Linked DNA regions of Drosophila melanogaster. The protein of the gene in region 1 interacts with the protein of each later gene in a pairwise test. Each region holds a gene or a part of one and is shown on either strand. Other genes may lie near its edges.

Region 1 (10,330 bases):
TCAGATCGATGACCGCCGCCGACTGCGCGTAGACCCATGAATAATGAGCAGCGGAAAGCTATGATGCAGTACCTGGGCGGGGGAATGGAGGGGAATCCCCTGTACTTTCAGTAGCGGCTGATAGGCGAGCAGACCAGACGAGTCCGCGGTTTGAACTTACCTCTTGAGTTGGTCGCCGCATCGGCTATCTTTTGGAAGGCATCCAAATAGGCGGCGATTGCCTGGATGGCGGCCCTGTGAAGAGATGAGAGCAAATACAACATCATTATTATTGTGGGACCCAGCCAGATAGATTTAATAAACATTCTCTCCAATTGCCCGTGGGCGACATTTCAATTAGGCGAAAGCTAAAAAAAAAACACATGGAATATCCACAGTCTCTGCAGTAACTAAATATTTGAATACCCTTTCCGATGAAATATGCTAAGAAGTAGTAGGTTCTCATACGATTGGAACCATAGTAAGTGATAAGCTAGTTTAACAAGCGCTGATTGAACTAATTGCACCTGCTCCGCTTTTGGCGTAATATACCCACATCTAGGGTATACAAAAGTGGTGCCCATCTGGGCGTCTTGATCCGGGCGTCCTCACCTAGCGGGGAATCGGTCAAGATGTGTGTCAAGCGCAGTGGGCAAGCACTCGGAGCGAGTTTTGGCAAGCCCCGTGATTTGAACTCGGACAACAGGATTTGGGGTAGTGATTAATGCAGCCGCTATTTGGCGGCGGCTATATACTTATGCCCAGACATTGCCGCGAGAAAATTTGGGCCAAGTCTGAGCATAAAAAGCACAGAGAAAATAAAACAAACAAATGCCACCCCACGAGCAGAAATTTAGCAACAGCAGAAAGAGCACAAAAATAATCATAGACACATTATATGTTTTACGACTGAGTGTGAGGAAGTGGAAAGCATAAGGGCAAGCATTTAGGCAAACAAATTTGTTTATTTACACGCAGTTCTCGTTCTAAAGTTTTGCAACTGCGCTCGTTAGTGGGCTGCTGTTGAAATATCATTTTCCAGAATGGAGCAACCAATTCACACCCAAAGTAAACTCACCTCAAACAAGTGTGCAGTTTTCCGGCCTTAGCCACAAAATCCTCCCACAGGGGCGAAGTGTTCTGCAACAAAAAAAGAGAGTAAATTAGTTTAACAATTGTATAAAATATTTTTGTTCCATTATATTGGGACTTGGGAACGAGTCGTAGGTTTTACAGCCATAATTAATTAATCAAAATTTAAACGAAACTAAAAAAATGCAACTTACTATAGATGTAGATGACAAAAGTGAAAAATTTTCCATTTAAGATAAAATATATAAAATACATTTAAAGGCGTGATTGCCCAAAAGTTCAAAGTTCATATCGTCATCGTTTTTTCGCTGGATTAAATCTAATTGAGTTTGACTTTTGTTGTCTGCGCATTTCATTAAATGCGAATAAAGCAGAAAATTATGGTGCAAACTCAACGAGCAAACAACCCAAACATGACATCAACGAATAAGCAAAGTGAGAGACACATTTAATGTAATCAAAGTGGGTGAGCTCCGATCCATATGGCTCCGATTGAATACGGAATCGAGCAATCCCCTAGGGGAGATGCTTTTAATTAAGTTGCTGAGGTAATCTGGATTAATCAAATTTGCATATTAATAAGACTTCTAGTAAAAGAGCGAGAGTACAAGTCCAAAAGAAAGTCGTCATCATCATTATAATACAAGATGGATTGATTGGACTTTTATGAACATGGGGAAGTTTCGTCAATAATCCACAAGTTCTCCCCTCAATAATCACTGGAAGCTCATATTTGGCCAAAAAGCGAACTGAAATGGCTCCCACATGGGTTTTTCTCACACAATCCTGTTCAGCCAACTTACTTATTTGGTCAAGACCACAAAGAGCTGCCGCTGGCTTCTGGCCAAGTATCAGTGTCACGATGGCCGAACGGCAGCAGATTGTTAAGAGGCAGCCGTAAAAGGCCGCCAAAGACTTTATGTGTGCTTCTTTCTTTAAGAGAAATAATAGCGAGTGAGGACGCGCAAATGGTCAATAAAAGCGAAAACGAGTTTTCGTTTTGTTTTGTTTTGGCTCGCTTCAATTACACAACATATGACATTGAAAATAAGAGCCAGACGAGCGAAGCAGCCAAAGATCGAAAGCAGCAGGAGGCGTCTGAATGAAGACATAAAATGTTCCCATTTGGTGACCACTGTGATAACAGGAGCAGATTCATCAAGCCCAAATAGCAACTGCCAATTGCAGTTGCATTTAACTTTCGGTTTTTGCGCAATCGGGCAGTAATAAATACCATTAAAATGTCAATTGCTAAATCAAAATCGATTTCAATGCAAAATGCCCAAAAGAAGCCTGAGCTCTGGGCCATGGCAATTGCATAAACAGCACTGCTCAAAGGTAAACGAACGAACGAGACAATGGCAGCGGAAAAGCCGGGAAATGCGCAAATAAATGCAACAGCTCAAGCAAAAACTTAACGGAAATCGATTTTTGGCTATTTTTGCCAGCTTTTATTTATTTATTTTTTTTTTTTGTTCATATACTCGTTTTGCCATGCAACCACTGGGTGCAACAAAAACCCTAAACAATTGCCAGCTCCACAAAAACGAATTGAACGCGGTATTCAAGCGATGATAACGACTTCTTTCCCCCTTTCACAAAACACCACATGCGACATGAAATAAATAATAAATTGGGTTTGAAAAAGTATGTTCGAAACTATTGTATTGGGAATTCGTTCGTTTCAAGTTAAGGCAAAAATACAAATACTATTGATAATAACACTTTAAGTACTTTTCTCGTGATATCACCATCGTATAGATTTAAATAAATTCAAAGAATGTGATGTGTGGGATGATAGAGAAATCGAGGAAAATCAATAAATATCCAAGAAAAATCGCGACAGAATAAATTCCAAAAAGACCAAAAGCGACCAAAATTTTTCAAAGCCTATAAGCTGATTTTTTCAATGATTGAACCACGTTTCCAAGACGCGGCCCACATGCAAATTATTATTGTTTATTTGTTGCAAAACCATTTTTTGTGTGCGACAGCCGACCGCCAGCGACAGCTTGATAAGCGGTTCTTGCCTCGCATGCGTGGGCAGCGTCTTGTCGGCGTTTTGTGAATGAGCATTTTGTAGTCGTGGAGCGATATAGCCACCACCAATAAGCCAGCCATCCACTCGCGGGCCAAAACACGCGAAGCTGTCATTACGTTGACCAGGCCCAAACCATTCGCGTCCGCGTTGGCGTGGATGTTGTGTTTCGTGCTAGCGTTGGGAGAGAGCTCAGCTGGTCCTGATCCCAGTGTTCGGGCATCGCCTTATGAATGGGCGAGTGGAGCTGGATTGCCTAGCAGCCAGACGCATAGTAAAAGTGCCGCAGCTAACAAAACCCCTTTTCAACTTAATTTCAAGATCCATTTAGTTAGCTACTGAAATTGTTAAATGTTTGTCTTAGCGGTGGTTTGAATGCATTTACTTTTTATTCATTGTCCTCATATTTCTAGAGTATTTACTGTTTACTGTTTAGTAACCAGTCATCGAGCTGAAAGATCTCGTTCCCGCCAGTTCGTGGTTGTATTCAAAACACTTTCCAGTTTCCGTCAGACATCGAAATCGAGTCTAAGCGCAGGGGAAGACAGCGAGTGCAATGGACGTGGTGCATCCATGCACATATAGTACACCACAACCGCTCCATGTGTATCCATTTATCTTGGCAAGCCAACTCGGCCGGGAAGTGAGCTAGACACCTAAAAACCCACAATTTATGCCAGTCAGAGCAAACTGGAAAAGTTCACACAACCACCACGAGGAGACCCACACCCATGCACACAACACACAGCTAACAACAAACGTGTGGCTGGCATTATAAACTCTTGATCTTTCCAATAGCCTACAAAGGCTGCCCACACGGACCGGCTCTCCAGCTGGTTCACAGCCCCATTCATGCTGCAATTTTGTTGCTATTTCGGTGCTGCTCCTCGATAAGGCCCCAAAGATTCCCAGCAGCGGCTAGGTGGATAGAGGCGGAGATGGCCAAAAAAAACGGGTTCAGAGCCATGCCGTCGCCACGTCCTACATTGCCAGCTTTTTGGGTTGGCGAACAAAGCCACTGCCTCCAGAAAGAGCCGTTTCTTATGCTAAATCCAAGAGCCTGCCTGCGAAGCAGAAGTCCGCACTGATTGATTTTCTATGAGGTCCGACGTACCATATACTATATAGTATAGTGAGTGCCCGCGGCCATAATTTCGGCTTTGGCCAGATGTTGACTTTACCGGATTGCCCGGAGCGGCCTGCACAATCGTGCGCTGCTAATTTGCACCTAAAGACGGTCTTTGTTTCTGGCTCTTCGGTTTAGAAAGTAGAAAATTATTCGCCGGGAATATGAAATGAAAGTGTTCCGAGGCTTACCTCCCTGCCGTTTAAAAGTTTTCGCAAATCTGTAAGAAACATTTTCCGTGAATTGGCAAGAGCTTTGCAAATTGACAAATCGATTGCTGCGATTTGAATCGATCGGAACTTATGCCAATCATCATCGGGTAATCCAATAACCGACAATTGTATTTGCATATTCCCCATCCAGCAACGGCAGTCATGACCCCAAAAAAATGCAGTCAGTATACGGTTCTCCTTTGTCTGCACGTCGTTACCCGAGAAGGTACTTGCCACACGCAGCTAGCCGATATGGAAACCGCAACTTGAACTCAAGTTGCCGTCAACGCGTGCCACCAACCACAAAACAAAACGAATCAAGAAGTTAACTGATTGGGGATATGGAAGGTAAAACAAGCCCCTAAAGTTATGAGATCTGTTAAAACACGATGCAATGTTTAAATTGTTATTGAATGTAGGAATTAAGAACACTATGTTTAATATTATACAATATTGAAAAAAAAAATACACATTCAACAAAATAGTCTATTGTTCCAACTACTGCAACTTTAGTGGTTCTCCTATGATCTCCAAACAAATTGGGTTTGGGCGCGGTATATTCCTCTCATCTAGTGCGTTAAACAATATGACAAGTTTATGACGTCCTCTAAGAAGAGGTCCACGAAAATTCTCAAATTTTAGTATGAGATCGAAGGGCTCGTGTACCAGAACGGTCTGTAAGAAATCAGAATATTTTCAAAATATTGTGCAATAAAAAATGGTAGTGTCCTTTGCACACAACCATATGAATAATCTGCATCCCATATGAGAACTATTCCCATATGCTATTATATTCCACCGTATTTGGTTGTCAAATTGCTTGAACTCCACTTACATCAGGCCCTCTGAAGCACTTCTTTTCCACCTCATGGCGATTGGTTATAAACCTTGTCCAATACTTATACCAATACTGGTTCTTGTCGTACATGATGGAGCAAAAGTTCTGGGTGGCCATGCTAAAGACAGTGGGCTCCCAAGTGCCGCGGTTGAAGTGAAAAACATCAAGTCTCGCCTACACGGATGCAAGAGTTTTGATATTAGAATCGATGATTATTCCGAAGCTTGCAGTTTGTGTTACAGTAATCCGATCGGTGGGCTGCACATCCCACACGACGGTGGCGTTCCCGGATACATGAAGTATATCCCCTTTCTGGTCGATTACAATGTCGTCTAAGTTGAGTGCCTGGCGGATGTTGATGGATCCGGGAGGACCATCAGTGCACGTCGAAAATATGTCCGGATCCTCGAGCAATAATTCATAGTCTGTGGCCCAGGAACTGGTCACTCCTAATAAGAGTAGCAGCACAAATATCATGATGACCATAGAACCGAAAACTGTGAGATCCGACCCCTTTATAGCCACTGCCACAATAGAGTTTTTGATATGTTTTATTTATACACCTTTTAAAATGATGACATCTAATCATGGTATGCCATCGTACATTGATTCAACACGCAACAATGTAACAACCATCTCCTGTTAATCAGACGTTGTCAAACTCTAACAATATAATTGGCAAATCACGTTATGTGACCCTTGAAAATATTCGTGCTTAAACATTGTAAAACAAGATGTTTTAATAATAATAACTTTTGGGCTAGAAAAAAAAACAAGTTTGAAACAAAAAACAAATTCCCCAAAGATTTTCTTGGCGATCACATATCCGTGTGGGCGTGACAGTTTTGGGCGGTTTTTGGTCGTTAGAGGGTGTGGTAGAGTAGGCGTGGCAATCTTCTGAAAGTACTTCTCTATAATCTGCATCCCTTATCTTATCAATATAGCTTTTATAGCTCCCGAGATCACATACGGGCATAAGGTTGATCAAACGAAAAAAAAGGTTCGCGTCACCTGTTACACACTTTGTACCAAATCAAGTACATATATCAAGTTCAGAATAGTTGATATATTTTATTTATATTTATATTTTTAAGATTGCTTTTTATTTTCAAAATATGTAGATATTGGGTTTATATTGTTTTTTAGGTTACTGATATCGCGCCTTGAACAGATTAAGCCCTTAATTAATTTATCTTCTCGGCCTCTCCCCTGATTTCGAAGCAAATGGAATTACGGCGTGGCACATCCTTCTCATCGACCGCCTCAAAGGTGACCACAGCTTTGTAACGACCCCTGAGAGTTGCACCACGAATGTCCGTTAGACGCAGCTGCAGATCGAATGGATTGTGCATTATAACGGTCTGTAATGGAATCCCAAGGTTAAAGTCACCGCGCCAGAGATGGACTGTTTTGTTTGCAGGGAAAACTCACACCACGCGTTTTAAAACACTTCTCCATCACCTCATCGCGGTTCGAAATGTGTTTGGTCCAGTACTTAAACCACGACTGATTCTCATCAAACATTGAGGCGCAGAAGTCCGGCGTGGCCATGCTAAATACAGTCGGTTCCCAGCTGCCGCGGTTGTAATGCATTATTGCAAACCTGGCCTTAAAAGCAATTGTTTATTAATAATCTTATTTCGTATAAGGAATGCGGGCATTACGGATATGCGATCTGTGGGCTCCACATCCCAGATTGAGGTGACACTCTCGGACAGGTGAATGATGTCCATGTCCTGGTCGACTACCAGATCGCCAATATCGAAGGCATCGTGGAATCCAATCGATCCCGGCGGCGGTTCAGTGCAGGGTGAAAAGATATCAGGGTCCTCCAGCAACAGCTCGTAGTCTGCGGCCCAGGAACTAGCAAAGCCAAATACGAACAGCATGAGAGTTCTCATGATGACAATAGTATCACCTGGTGGGATGAGACCCTTTTATAGTACTTGCCATCATGATCTCTTCTATCATTGCTATCATGTCATCATGTATCCACTCGACATGCAACAAAGTTACAACCATTTTGTTTGCCAGACATTATTTTAAATCGACATTTAAAGCAAGAAGCTCACTTCAACCATAACAAGTTTCGAGGAAATCAGTGCCAATGAAAATAGTCCTTATTAAACGATCAAAACAATCATTCCTGTTAATCTTATATTTATTAAGATATATAAGCTAAATACTAAAGGTTTTAGCCATTAGCATAACAACTTGTATGCCAAATAGGCATTTAGATTGTTATACTTGTAAAAGTATAACCTTTTGTTCTTCTTGAATTCAATGCTAAAATCTTTGTAGGCTCCTTGATTAAATTAAATTTTTACTTTTTTCATCGAAAATTAAACGATTTCATAAATTCCGTAACTATTTTGCATAATTGGGTGCGACAACTACACACCTACAACAAGTCAAATGGACACTTTCCGCAATTTAATCACAGCTTGTGAATCACAAGTGCAATTTCATATTCATTTTAATTAACTAGCCTTGGATTGCTGTTGAAGCTGACATCATACATGCAGAGCACTCGGCACAGTTCAAAACACCAAGTAAGCTATGCACATCAGTCGTTCCACATTAACAGAGGGAACAGCATCTAGAATTGTTCCCGCAAAGTTATTTATGGAATAATGCAAAGTAATTAATACAACTAAGATGATTCTCATGCTCTCCAATTGTTTGTGGAGTCTGAAGGGGAAATGCATTCCGCATTCTTGTCTGATCTCAGATTTCACTGTCTCCATGTGGGAGGAAGCAGGCATATGGAACGGGTTGCAATGGTGACCTGCGTCAAGATCTAAACAAAAAATGATTTGTATATTTTATCCATTTTTTCCGAACATAGCAGCTAGACATAACAATTGTACACATTAACACAATTGTTTTCAAAGCTTAAGGACCTTGCTCCACATATGAACTGAATGATGGCATCCTGTCCACATCCTGTTCGGTGCCACAGTGAACTGCCACTTCCAGTTGAGATTCAGCCTTGAAATGGCTTTCAGACTTTTCAAACGCGCCAACGCTAGAGGGACAGGGGGAAGCTCACGGGGCATTGTTATAGAAATGGAAACAGCTGCGAGTGCTGCCATAAATAAAAACTTATTAGGTCTTGTCGATGGTATTTCACTATATAGTAACTCGTCTATAAATAAACAAAACATAGAAATTGACTTTCGTCTTATAGCCCACGCAACCCCAGGCGTAAGCCAAACGCACAGAATCGAAAAGTTCAATGAAAGCAATTAGTGAACATTTTTAATAAAACTATTTTCTAAATATAAAAAAGAAAATTCGCCCAACGTGGGGCTCGAACCCACGACCCTGAGATTAAGAGTCTCATGCTCTACCGACTGAGCTAGCCGGGCACTTGTGAAGATCGCCGATAAAAGCTCACATTTGCTGATTAAGCTTAAGAATCATACAAATTGATATAAAGAGAATTTAAAGGATCAAAATATTACCAAGAGAGAATCAATAGCCTTTTAAAAGTAGCCAAAGAATTGTCGCCAATTAGCTTGCAACAAATAAGTTTAGGCCCAAATTTACTTTACATAAATTACATTGACAATATAGAATATTTATCGTAAATATTCAACTCATAACAAAACAAGAGAAAATGTTTTAGTCTAGTTTCCCGACTATCAGATACCCGTTACTCAGCTAGTGGCAATGTCAACTAGAAATTTCCTTATTTTTTCTGGCTTATCGATTGATATTGGGGAATAATATGAGAAAAACATAAGAAAATGGTCGCAAACGCTTCCTTCTGCCTGGTACATACTTTTTAACGAATATAGTATAAGCAAAGACCCTAGAATTCTAGTGTTATTATAGTAAATTCTAGTTATTCTAGTGTCTTTGGTATACGGGTATAAAAATTATAAATTACTTCTATAAACACATTGCTAAATATGAGAAAGCATATTTATACATGCGCATATAAGCCGGATTAAAGGCAACGGGCGCTTTGCTGTCAAACCTAGAAACATTGTTGTAATACCTTTAGCCTTTTGTTTTATTCGAAATGGTTATGCAGATTCACAAGATGCATTTGTATCATATATACACAAACTATTTTTAGCTTCCAAATTAATTGGGACTCATTTTAGGCAAATTAAATATGCTTAATAATTTTCCAATTAGTAAAAAATCAATTGCCGAAAGTGGAGCTCAAAAAATGTTTATTAATTGTATATTAATTTTGAATTAAAATAAAAAACATCGCCCAACGTGGGGCTCGAACCCACGACCCTGAGATTAAGAGTCTCATGCTCTACCGACTGAGCTAGCCGGGCATGTGTTCTTGACATCTGACTGTCAAAATCATCGAAATCGTAATAGTTTTAAATTTAAACTTATACTATAAGCTTAAAGAATAATGGTGGTATAAAAACCCTGTGGTGCTAAAAACAAGACGAAAGCGTATTGACTAGTCCCTCGCCCATCTAGTCAAGTTTAAAGCCCATTTGCATTTAGATAAAGATCAAGCCAGCTTATCCTTACATGCATTTTTATCTACCTATTTAAAAATAATTCTATTCAGCAGGTTTTGACAAGATAAATAAATTGTAATTTATAGATAAATTGATTTATAAAAAATCATAAACCATAATAAATCATTTATATAATTATATGTACATGAGCACATCGGCTTTAAGCCTAATTAGTTAAGTAAAGGATATGTGATAGTCGAGAGTCTCGACATAATGGGTTTCCTCTGGTAATCAATTAACTATTAAAATTTGTATATTTACTACAAAATATTGGTCGCCCAACGTGGGGCTCGAACCCACGACCCTGAGATTAAGAGTCTCATGCTCTACCGACTGAGCTAGCCGGGCAGGTAAACAAAATTGCCGTCTGTCAAAACTCGGGAAAATATATCAAATGGGGTTAGGAACTATAGACATGCGTCTAGTATTTTGTTTAGAAATGAAAAACAAGATAGAATTCTAAAGTCGTGTTCCCTGACTATCAGATACCCGTTTCTCAGCTAGTGTGAATGCGAACGCGAAATTTCATAATTTTTCTGGGATATT
Region 2 (10,903 bases), on another chromosome or scaffold:
GCCGCTTCTTTGCCATTTGTAAACAGACCGCCCAATTCCTCCCTGGAATCGAGTGGGTCCCTTAGTCATGTTTGATTTGCAATTTTGCACAATCGTTTGATTGCCAAGGCTCGAATGGGATGGAATCGGAGTTTCGGGAGCAGCCAGCCAGCAGGCTAAATCCCAAAAATTGCCAATAAATTTGTACTGTTGACTGTGTGTGTGGCTACAAATTTGCTGCTTGCATATTTTATTTGTGTAACGTATGTTGTGAAAATTCAAATGCAAATGCAGGAACTGTGACCAACGTCAGTCCAGAGATAGTCGTTTAAAAATGCTGAAAAAACGAAGAAAAAGGGCGATAATGGGATTGTGGTATTTGAAAAGATATTGTATATTTATATTGCTATAACAGGTTTATGGAAGAGAAGAAAATGACGGAAATCTGAGTTCCAGCACTCTTTACATGAACACAAGAAGAAATTGTTTTTTTTTTTCCTCAAAAACTAACAAAAAATTTGGTTAATTATTAAATGTTTTATTTAAAAAAAAAGCTTAAGAAGCCGTAAACATCAGATGGAAAGGGTCGGAGCGTAGAATTAATGTTGTGTAAAGTATTTCCGAATCATTGATTAGCCAGCTCGAAGGCCGGAAACGCAGCAATGGCCAACGCGGCGTATGAGTGTTGCGCGAATATTTCAGCAGTCACGCAGCACTTACAACTGGCCATGTTCAAGGTATTTGCGGGTATGTGTGTGCAGTCGTGTGTTATTTGGTGTAAATTATATGGCCGAAAGATGCAAAATTAGCCAAATAATGGCTGCCTAATGTGCCGGAAAGCTGGCGAGCAAAAGTTAATGGCGAAAATCCTTTAGTCCCCCACCATAATGAAAACATAAAACGGAGCCACTAAAAGCAAATCGACAGCGGCACATATTTGCTAATCCAATAAGTGTTAGCTGCTTCACTGCCTGCGAAAAGGGGTGGGGCATTAAAGGGTTAAAGGAACGCATAAAATTTGAATACATTTTCGCCACTCAGAACGCTTAAACTCGTTACCTTAGCTAACGCAAATAATTCAAGTCGACGTTTTATTTTATTTTTTGTTGCCCTGTCAAACGTGTTTCGCGGTAATTGAACGGACTTTAAATGCCAGCCAAAAACTGTACAAAATGCGGGCTAACACAAACGGCTTTGGTCCAGGTTTTTCTTCTATTCTCAATTTTTTTTTTTTTCATTCTTTTTTTTATTTATTTGCCTTTGACGTGCCACTAAAACTGAGGTTTGGGTGGGTCGACGGCGAGGGGAAAGTAAAGCCAAATGCAGTTGGGACTCAATGGCGACTCCTATGCAAAAGAAGCAATGCTCGCCAACGCGACGACATCGAAACTTTTCCTATTTTTTGTGCTTTTATTTTTGGTGTCGCTGGTTTTAACCAGCAAAATAATTTGGTTATATAGAAAATAGTATCAGGAAAAAAGTTATGCCCAAAATATAACAAGAAAATAATGTAAATACCTTGAAAAATATGAAAAACCAAAATAAATTGTATAAAATATGTAAATATATGGAATATAATAAATTATATATTTTTGTTTTTTAAAAAACTTAACAAGGTACACATGTAACGTAAATTCTTTTTTTAACCTATCTAAATTAAGGCACGAAAAATTTACGAATGCTATTAAATAGGTTTTCATAAGCCTGCATATTTCTGAAGCACCCCAGTCCGTGTATGATCTCAAAATATTCAGGGTATTATGACTTTCCATGGGGACAAAGTCGAGCTGAAAACTGCCCCACAGAAAGAACAATTTTCGGGTCGAAAAGGCGCTCCATGGCAGCGAAAATGGCAAACTGACTTCAAGTGGCATTTTGACATTTTGTTGAATTTCAACTCGCTTTTCGTTTTGGGATGCAACGATGGGGTCCGAGGTATGTATGTAAAAAGTGAAAGGGGCGTGTTCAGGGGGCCAGAAAACTCGCAGGTGGCTGGGCATGCAAACGAAATGCAAAGAGACGCATATTTTTTTACTTAAATTAGAAAAACAATTGCCAGCGTTGTGGGTAGTGAAAGCTGCAACTTTGGTCAGCAGGTTGACCACACAAAAAGTTCGCAAAGTATTTACTTTTTTCACGATGCATTTCAACTTCGCAGAGCTGGTGTTAAAACTTCGCCATTTTGGAGCCCAGCTTTTTACCCATAAATTGTTTTTTAAGTGTAATACCAAACGAAGTTTAAAGGCTTTTTGTTGAGGTAATTAAAAGACTGGACTTAAATTACGAGGAAAACATATACAATTTTATCAAGTTACATTATAGAACTTAATCACTTATATCACTTTATAATAACCACAACATTTTCAGAGCCTTATCGTTTTTTTTTTTTTTTAAATAGTTTTTAATATTTTCACATACAACTCGAAAACTTGTTGCACCATCTCTAAGTGTGACCATTACTTGAGATCACATCTTAACTATCGATATGGCGTTATAGACGATTTCAGTTTGGCGAAAAGTTCCGTTAGCAGCAAGAACAAGAGCAAATGCATTGTAACCACATAATATTAGTACTAAAGTTGTTGTTTTTGTCCCATTGAAAATGGAGTTACGCAGCCGAACAAACAGGAGATTAGTTGACTTCCTCAAAAGTAAGATATTCTAAATTAGACGTCCTTAACATACATACATATATAACTAACTATTTGCTCAGGCGCAGGCGTTTACGAGGAAGGCATGGATATTGAGGAAATGACCGAATTAGCAAGTGTCGTGCAGCAATCAGCTAGTATCAGTCCCCAGGATGAGGATCTAGAAAGGGCTCTGCACGTGGGAAAAGTATTCAGTTAACAATAAACAATAAATAGTAATTAGCTTCTCATTAATGTCGACAGGAGAGCGAGTCTGATTTTTTGACTTCGCATCCCAGTGCTTTGCACAACTCCACGATGATCATGTCGCCGCAAGTGTCCAGAAGAAATCCCTCAGACATGGACAGTCCACCGAGCGAGCCGATCCGTATAACTTTTCGGGCTTTGGTGCACCGTGCCATGGACTGGAGTCCCACCACGGGCAATCAAATTCCCGATCGCAAGCGCATTGCTGCGGATCGCAATCAAAACGTCGAACTAGTTGGCAAACGTTCCAGAGCAACGCCGGCTATCAGCATTGGCCAGGCACCGGAGGATGAGCCGCACAATGCCGACGCCACACCCGTTTCCCCGGGCAACGAATGCGACTCCGGCGTCAGCTGGGAGGAGATATCTTTGTCCAGCGCCAGCGATAGCACCACTCTTCCTTCCATCGGCGAAATGCCCGATCGACATTTAATCAGCACCAGCAGCGTCGCCGTCTCGGATTTCTCAGATGCCAATGAAATCAGCCAGGAATAGGCTATTTCCGCCCATGTCTTGTGGTTTATGTTTCCCAATCGAATGCAGTAGAGATTTTACAATGTTTATAGCCCACATATGTCTAAGAAAGAGTACTCGAATAAGTTAACTATATGTCACATTAAAGGATTGAATTTATTGCATAATTGTGGCTTGTGTTTTTGGTCGAGCTGTATTTATTCCAATTCCAGTTTCCTTAACTATTTAGTCATAAGCATGTCAAGTTCAATAAAAACGAACACCCAATATATAAAAACATTTCCAAAGGTGGAATTAAATTGTGATGGCTTGACTTTACATAAATATGTATAATTACATTTGTATTTGGAAGTTTGTAAATTAAGCCTGTTGTACAACACTGGTACGTCTTTTTATAGGAATTTAAACTTTTTATGTTTAACTGCCATTTTAAGGCTAAACTTAACCAAAATTTTAAGGCTCAAATTTACCAAAACCTTTAGTATAAATTTCTATTTTTACTAAATGTTAAGAACACGTGACTTGAGCTTTAACTGAATTTTATATATTAATTACATATGCTCCAGTAAGTTTTCAACAGTATTTTGATCAACACTGATGTTCTTATTAAACATTCCTTGGAGTGGACACACTGGCCGCACGGCTTTTCACATTGTCATTTTCCAGGAGCTAGGCGTTGAAAATTTGTTAAAAATGTAATTAAAATTAAAGCAGTTCATTAAATATATTGATGGATTATTCATTGCAGGTCCCAATCAAAGGTTCCTCATATTGTGGGCGATGATGATGAATATCAAGAAGCTACGTAAGACTTCATTAATTTAGCTTCAGAAAAACACTGACAATATATGTATTTCCTTTCTAGTGCTCCCGAAAGTGACGAGATTACCTGCGAGTCTTCTGTGTAAGTCTTTTTAATATAATGTTTTGATAGATTATTTTTAAGTTGCCTTATAATCAGGGAAAGTGATCAAGATGATGACTGTTCCAACGAAGATGAGTGAGTAAATTTAATGTTATAAAACAAAATCATTTTTCTTCATTTTGTGAACCTTTTAGTATGGATTTGGATGGGGCAGACTGGTCCCCATATGTCACTTATGAGGCGGGTACACCGTAAGTTATAGTTTCGTAATGTAGAACGTGGAATAACGGGTTCGGATTCTCTACAGAAGACGTCCCCACAGTGCTTTGGAGATTACCGAAATTACCGAGTTTCCGAAAATTCCAAAGAAAAACCCCACCTCACCCGAACTGGTGATACAGAAGCCAGAGACTCCGGATCAAAACGACTCGGGATCTCAGGAGCGTCTCACCTTCTCTCGCGCCAATAATGCGCTATCAGAGTCCATTGGAGCTCGCGTTTCCCAACGTAGCAGGGGCAACTTGGAACCATTCATCCGTAGAATGGCACGTAGCCCTACGCCCGAGGCCTCAGAGGAAAACGGCTCGGTATCACAAGGTCAGCTGCTGGCCAAGCCCGTGGATGTCACCGAGTTCTTTCACCGCATTGCTGTGGGTCTCGTCGAGCAGCGCGTCTGCTTGAAGCCTTTCTTGGCATTGCGCAAACATATTGCTCAACTGGTGGGTCAGACTTTGAAGAAATCCAAGAGGATGCGCCGTTAATCCATTTAACATCCAATGTTACAACATCCATGTAATAAGTATCCTATAATATCCAATAAATAATATATTGCGTTCACCGATTGGATATGAAGTTAACTCAAATTCGTAAATTTAATTAAATTAATATAAAATATAAAAGTAAAATTAAGCACAATATTAGTATCCACACGGTTCGTCGTCCATTTCGGTGCAATTGCAGTAGTTAATATCGGGAACGTTGTCGGATACCAGATCATCCTCGGCAATTGTTACACAGCGCACGTTACACGGATATTTCTGGGGAATGGACTGATTTAGGTGCTATCGATGGATAGTAAATGGATAAACCCACCACCACGACCAAGGGATGTCCATCATCGTCCGTGAGTCCCACATTATCGCAGCCATCGCCCTCGTTCTGCCGGTGAACTATGAACTTGGTCATACAACAAAGCACGATCTAAAAAGATGATTGACTTAGGGAGGTCTTATCTTAAAATACAATTTTGTTGCATATTCAAATTTTTTGATTTCAATATGACTTACGCTAATGAATTTGACAGAATTTAATGAATATGGCTCCAATATTCACCATTGTTCTGACTTTAAAACGTTGCCCATTACCAATTACTTACCAGAAACTTAAGGGCCAGGACCCATAACGCCATCAGGATGTAAAAGCAGTTCCACACCGCACTAACGAACGCAGGCAAGCATCCGTTCGCATTGATTGAGTCCACGGTGAGAGCGGGAAAAGGCTGCCGGCTATTGCCACCGATGGACTGCCCCTCACTGGGCAGGAAATTGTTAAAGCAGCTGTCGCAGGAGCGCTTGCAGCAGGCGAAGGGTGCCAGGACCATCGACGTGCAGTTATTCTCCCGCCGTGGCATCCACTCCGCGTTCATCCAGTCCTTGTAGCCATGCACCCCGCAGCACTCCTTGTGCCACTGCAGTCCGTCCCACAGGAGTTTCCACTCGGGACACGAGTAGTACATGTCGATGCCGCGGGTCAGCGAGGTGTCCGCCGCATTCTCGAGGACATCGACACCCCGGTAAAGATTCCAAACGCACCCGAAACCGGAGGCAATGATTACGCAGGAGTAGAAGGCCCACACGGATAGCAAGAGGCGAATGTTCGGCGTGCAGCGACGCCGCCAAATTCGCCGCCACATGGCAATGCTGCAGAGAAAGGTCACCACCACCTGGGCGCCAAACACGTAGATCCCAAACAGATAGCCGTAGACCAGGCGGCACTCAATATCCGATAGATAGCCGGTGAGCACGGTGTGGTAGTAGGCGGTCACCACCAGGATCAGCAGTCCGATCACGGCCTCGGTTATTAACAGCAGGTGGAGGTAGACGGAGGCTCGGCGGAAGGGCTGGCGCATTTGGTCATCCTCGTGGGCATCGATCCAAAGTTTGGCTTGTCGACGAGGTTTTAGCTCTGAACTCGAATTTCATTTGGATTGACGCTGATTGCAAGGACTTGGGTGTTTGAATTTTAAAGTGTACTACAACTTGAATTTAATTTTTTTTATCCCTAAGGGCAGTAAAAACAATGATGCATTGAAAAATCGCTTTACAAATATGTATATTTACATCTTTTTATTTGGTAAGCAGTTGATAAATGTATACACTTAACTATATTTCAGTTTAAAACCTTTTCATTTTGGAGCTTGATCAGTTGGAGCATATCCCACTCATGGGGCAGCGGTTTACCGCACAAAGCTAAACTTGAGTACGCCAGATGTGTAGTCCGTATTGGGTCCAATCTGTTTTGCATCCACCTTTATCAGCCTTATGTTATCAACGCAGCGCGAACTTTGAACTATTTCCGGATTGATATCGCTATGCCGGATCCACAGCTCTAGAGGGCGAATGCGCCAGCTTTGCTTGGCCAAAATGGCAATACACCTCCAGACGAAGGATTCTCCATGGCAGAAGGTTCGAGTGATGTCGAGGACTCTCAGCTGTCGACAATTGATCACGAATTCCAGCAGGCCCAAAGGACTCTCCAACTGATAGCCACACAAATGGAGTTCGGTTAGCTCACCCAGTTGACTGGCTAGCTGCCGCAGTATCTGATCCCCCAGGCACTGCACCTGGACGCCCTCCTCCTTCTCCTCCTCTTCCTCTGGCTGGCTGTGCAGCTCCAGTCGCGTCAAGTGACTAAGATTTCCCAGCTCCCTGAAGAACCGGCCATAGTCGTGCAAAACTCCACTGAAACTAAAGGCCTCAATTTGTCGGCCATCGCCGGGAGGACTTGTGGGACTAACTATCCTCGATAGGACATCAAAGACAAAGTTCCTGGAATAGATCGACAGCTTTCGCAGGTTTGGCAATGTCAGTAGTTGCTGCGTAATATCCGACTCCATACACACGTGGTAATCCGCAATCTTGATATGCTCCAGTGTGGGACACAGCTGCAGATCCGCCAGATCACAGCAGTTCACCTCGTCACAGTCCTCCATTATGTCAAATTTGCGTAGTCGCAGCTGCCGGAAGATGTCCCTAAAGTGTTGCGATTCCAGAAAATGGCAATCATGCAGGCGGAGATCGGTAAGCTCATCCAGGTCGCATAGGTATTTTCCGGTAATTTGGCAGCCTCTAAGTTTGAGGCTTTTTAGATTGGGAAATACCCTCTGCAGCATTCGCACATCCTCATCCACGAAGCGAACGCGTCTCCGTCTATACACATTGCCCAGCCACTCGAAAGAGTGAATCCTCTCCAGCGTGTGGTTACTGAGCAGTCGCAGTCTTCGGACATCCAACTGCTTGCAACTCAGGTGCTGCATGTGCGGAGCCAGGGCCAAGATGAAAGCCACAAACTGTCGGGAATTGGCTCCCGAGCGTCCGAACATCTCGTCCTGCAGGACAACGTTGCGAACACGGGTCTCCCAGAGCATGTGCACTACGCCCGCCAAGCGCCTGTTCAACCTGCTAATCTGGAACTGCTGGTACGTGTCCAGCTGGCGGATGATCAAAGCCAGGACATCGTCATTCAGCTGGAGCAGCGTTACTGCAGTGGGTTCTAAAAAGTTGAAGGACGATCGTCTTAATAGGCTCAGTTGTATTGTTTTTTTTTTTTTCGTTTTTAGCCAATTCCTTACCTGTATCGCTTGCGGACGTCATCTGCGGTCTGTTCTCGATCGTGGTACTTGGAATACTAATGAATTCACGCAGTTGCCACGGTCAGTAGTCCGATGCTACCTAGTGCGAAGGTCATTTAGGGGTGGGTTTCCAGGCAGATCGGGCGGAATTCGCGCTACCTAAACGACTTATCCTTTTGGAGATGGGAAAACGAAGCGATAGTTTTCGGGGTATCCCAGAGATACGAAATCATAATAATATCCTTAACCAAAAAATATAATTCTACTCAGGGTTACTCAGTTTCTTGTAAAATCCGGTTTTATGCTTATGCTGCGCGTTTTTGCTGCTCATTTATTTGTTTTGTTTAGTGCTTACTACTTCATAAATTTTAATTACATTTTACTCGTAACTTGTACAATATATACTATATATATATATATTTCATTTGTTGTCCAATTTCTGTCGTATAGGCATATATATTTTAGGTATATATAGTGTTGTATTGTATCTGATTTATAGTACATTATTGTTTCTATTTAGTATTGTTACTGTTTGTTGCTTTTAATGTTTACGTTAATTGGGGCATTCCAAGCGTTTTCTTCAGCTTCTGTTAATTTTTCTCCTAGGAAACATTTTTGCCGCTGTCCCAGCGTTTAATCATTAAGGTTAATGGGTATGTGTCTGTCGATCAGTGAGTGTGGGTTGTGGAGAAAGTTACCTCTATTCTCACGGCTTGCACTACGCAACTTACAAGTAAATTATTTCGTTTGTTCATTAATATTGCAACACAAGTGAATTGTCTCCATAAACTTGCCTTTCACGTACTACACATACATATCCGTTATATATTAGTCAATAATCGTACAATAATATATATCTCTATATGCATTCTATATACTGCGCTCTATACACATCACCAAAAATCCAAAAACACCCAAAAACTAACACGGATACTCAACTACATAATTATAGACGTGTGATAGTGTGTGTTTGCGACTTCGAAAACAATTATTTTCAGTGTGAAAGCAAAATACATGCATATCAATGATAATTTCATTTTCAATTTTCAATTGTTCCCTGCATTCTAAGTGTATTCAAAATGTGCACTTTGCTGCGATGATCGTGAATCAATAAAATTAGGTTAAATAAAACCAAGTTCTGTCTTTAAATGGTTAAACAAACAGTTTTACATTTTCCGTTTATTCGTGTACAGTTACAGTTTGTTAAATTAAATTAAAATTGTATTTTAAGCATTTAATTCTCGATAATTAAATGTATAAAATGTTGCATTTAAAAGGAAGCATAATGTGTGGGTCGTGTGTCTGTCAGTTTGTCTGTGTATTGTTTTCTTACTAAATTATTAAACTTTGACTCGTGTTTAATATACTTTTTTTTAGATTTCTCTTCCTTTTTTGTAAAATTTAAAGCAGATATGTTGTTGCTTGTGGCGCTTGGGGATTTCTCGTTAATTGTTTCACTTTCTTTTATTTCGTTACGGCTTAAACTTGTTCTTAATGTTTGTTGTTTTCAACACAAGCACAGTTAAGGGTTATAATTAATTTTAGAGTTGTGCCTAGTCGTATATATGTATATGTATGGGTTGTTGTTGTTGTTGCTTGTTAACTTTAATAGTGGGGTAATAACTTGTTGTTATAGGTTTAGTATTCCATATATCATAATCGTAATTGTAATTGTAATCATAATGATTGGGCGACGCGCCCAACTAAAAACTACTCGCACTCCCACGCGGGAACTCCTATCTCCATTCCTTCGATCCGTGCTTTCAATCATTACTTTTAGTAGTTCAACTAACATTAAATATAATAACTTGTTTGTTTAATCCCTTTTCATTATCTCGTTAGTTGGGTCTGCCGTTATGCTGCTTCTGTTTCCACTGTCATATAATTGTATATATATCTCATAATCATCACAGCCCCACTTTCAGGGCTCGATATATTGTAAACTGGGTTAAGGACTACACTTGGCCAATATATGTGAAAGTTTTCGCGCGTTAGCTCGTTATTAATGTTCCTCCTTGGAAAATGCAAAAATAATACAGTTGTGATAATAATTTTCGATAGATTTCCAAGGGTCTTGTTGCGTGTTATTTACAAACTATAAGTATATATTATAATTGTATGCCTATGCATATCTGCATATGTTTATGTATGATGAGGATGCTTTCTATGAATGTCGCTCCATATGGATATAATCATAACTTAGTCAAAACACAATAAAAATACAAGATGGTGCGCTTCTGCTGGTTACGGCAACAAAAACCCCTTAACTTTAAGTGTCTAGCGAGAAAATTGCCTGAGACGGATTGGTCTTCGGATCCATTTGATTCACTGAGCGCAGCTAAGGAACAATCGGATATCACAAAAACCATATCGATCGACCCAAACAAAGTCACGCGCCGCCTGGCACACATTTCAAAAATGTAGAAAACACGTGAATAAAATTAGACGCTAAGCGCCTAAGCATTAAAGATACACATAAAAGGGAGAGATACCAAGAACAAACTATGAGATGATTCGTATTGCACGTTAAAGCTGGCGGCGGCAGACTAATTGAGGAGTGTTTAATTTGCTTGCGATTGGGACACATATCTCGTTGAGTTTCCAGGGTGATTTGATTATTTTAAATTACTTGATTTAAAATATTTCACGAATTAAAATCTTAATAATTGATAACAAAATATTTAATTACCATCAATTAAATTTTGGGGCTTTAGAAGACTGGACATTTTAAAGGCAATACTGTGCCATTTCGTCCTAAAAGTAATATTTACCACACACGCTTGCTTTAAAAATCGACACACCCTAGAAACCCAGCGTATCACGATATCCGCTTGGGGC

Evidence for each region.
Region 2: the proteins of CheB42b (region 1) and Tsp33B interact in a two-hybrid assay, tested with the Drosophila melanogaster proteins (one large-scale study listed by BioGRID).

Annotation. Positions count from the first base shown.
Region 1 is NT_033778.4:6,938,225-6,948,554, forward strand, and holds CheB42b (chemosensory protein B 42b), read right to left. Parts: upstream 5,772-10,330; 5' UTR 5,763-5,771; coding exon 5,526-5,762; intron 5,460-5,525; coding exon 5,283-5,459; intron 5,123-5,282; coding exon 4,946-5,122; 3' UTR 4,872-4,945; downstream 1-4,871. Other genes in the region: mim (missing-in-metastasis), read right to left, coding at 161-234, 1,058-1,119; CheB42c (chemosensory protein B 42c), read right to left, coding at 6,470-6,646, 6,717-6,893, 6,950-7,186.
Region 2 is NT_033779.5:11,785,961-11,796,863, forward strand, and holds Tsp33B (tetraspanin 33B), read right to left. Parts: upstream 6,406-10,903; 5' UTR 6,344-6,405; coding exon 5,591-6,343; intron 5,416-5,590; coding exon 5,308-5,415; intron 5,253-5,307; coding exon 5,133-5,252; 3' UTR 5,065-5,132; downstream 1-5,064. Other genes in the region: CG14931 (uncharacterized protein), read left to right, coding at 2,582-2,630, 2,693-2,817, 2,874-3,371; CG14932 (uncharacterized protein), read left to right, coding at 4,044-4,045, 4,099-4,155, 4,216-4,254, 4,312-4,350, 4,410-4,466, 4,523-4,976; CG14937 (uncharacterized protein), read right to left, coding at 6,671-7,986, 8,066-8,087.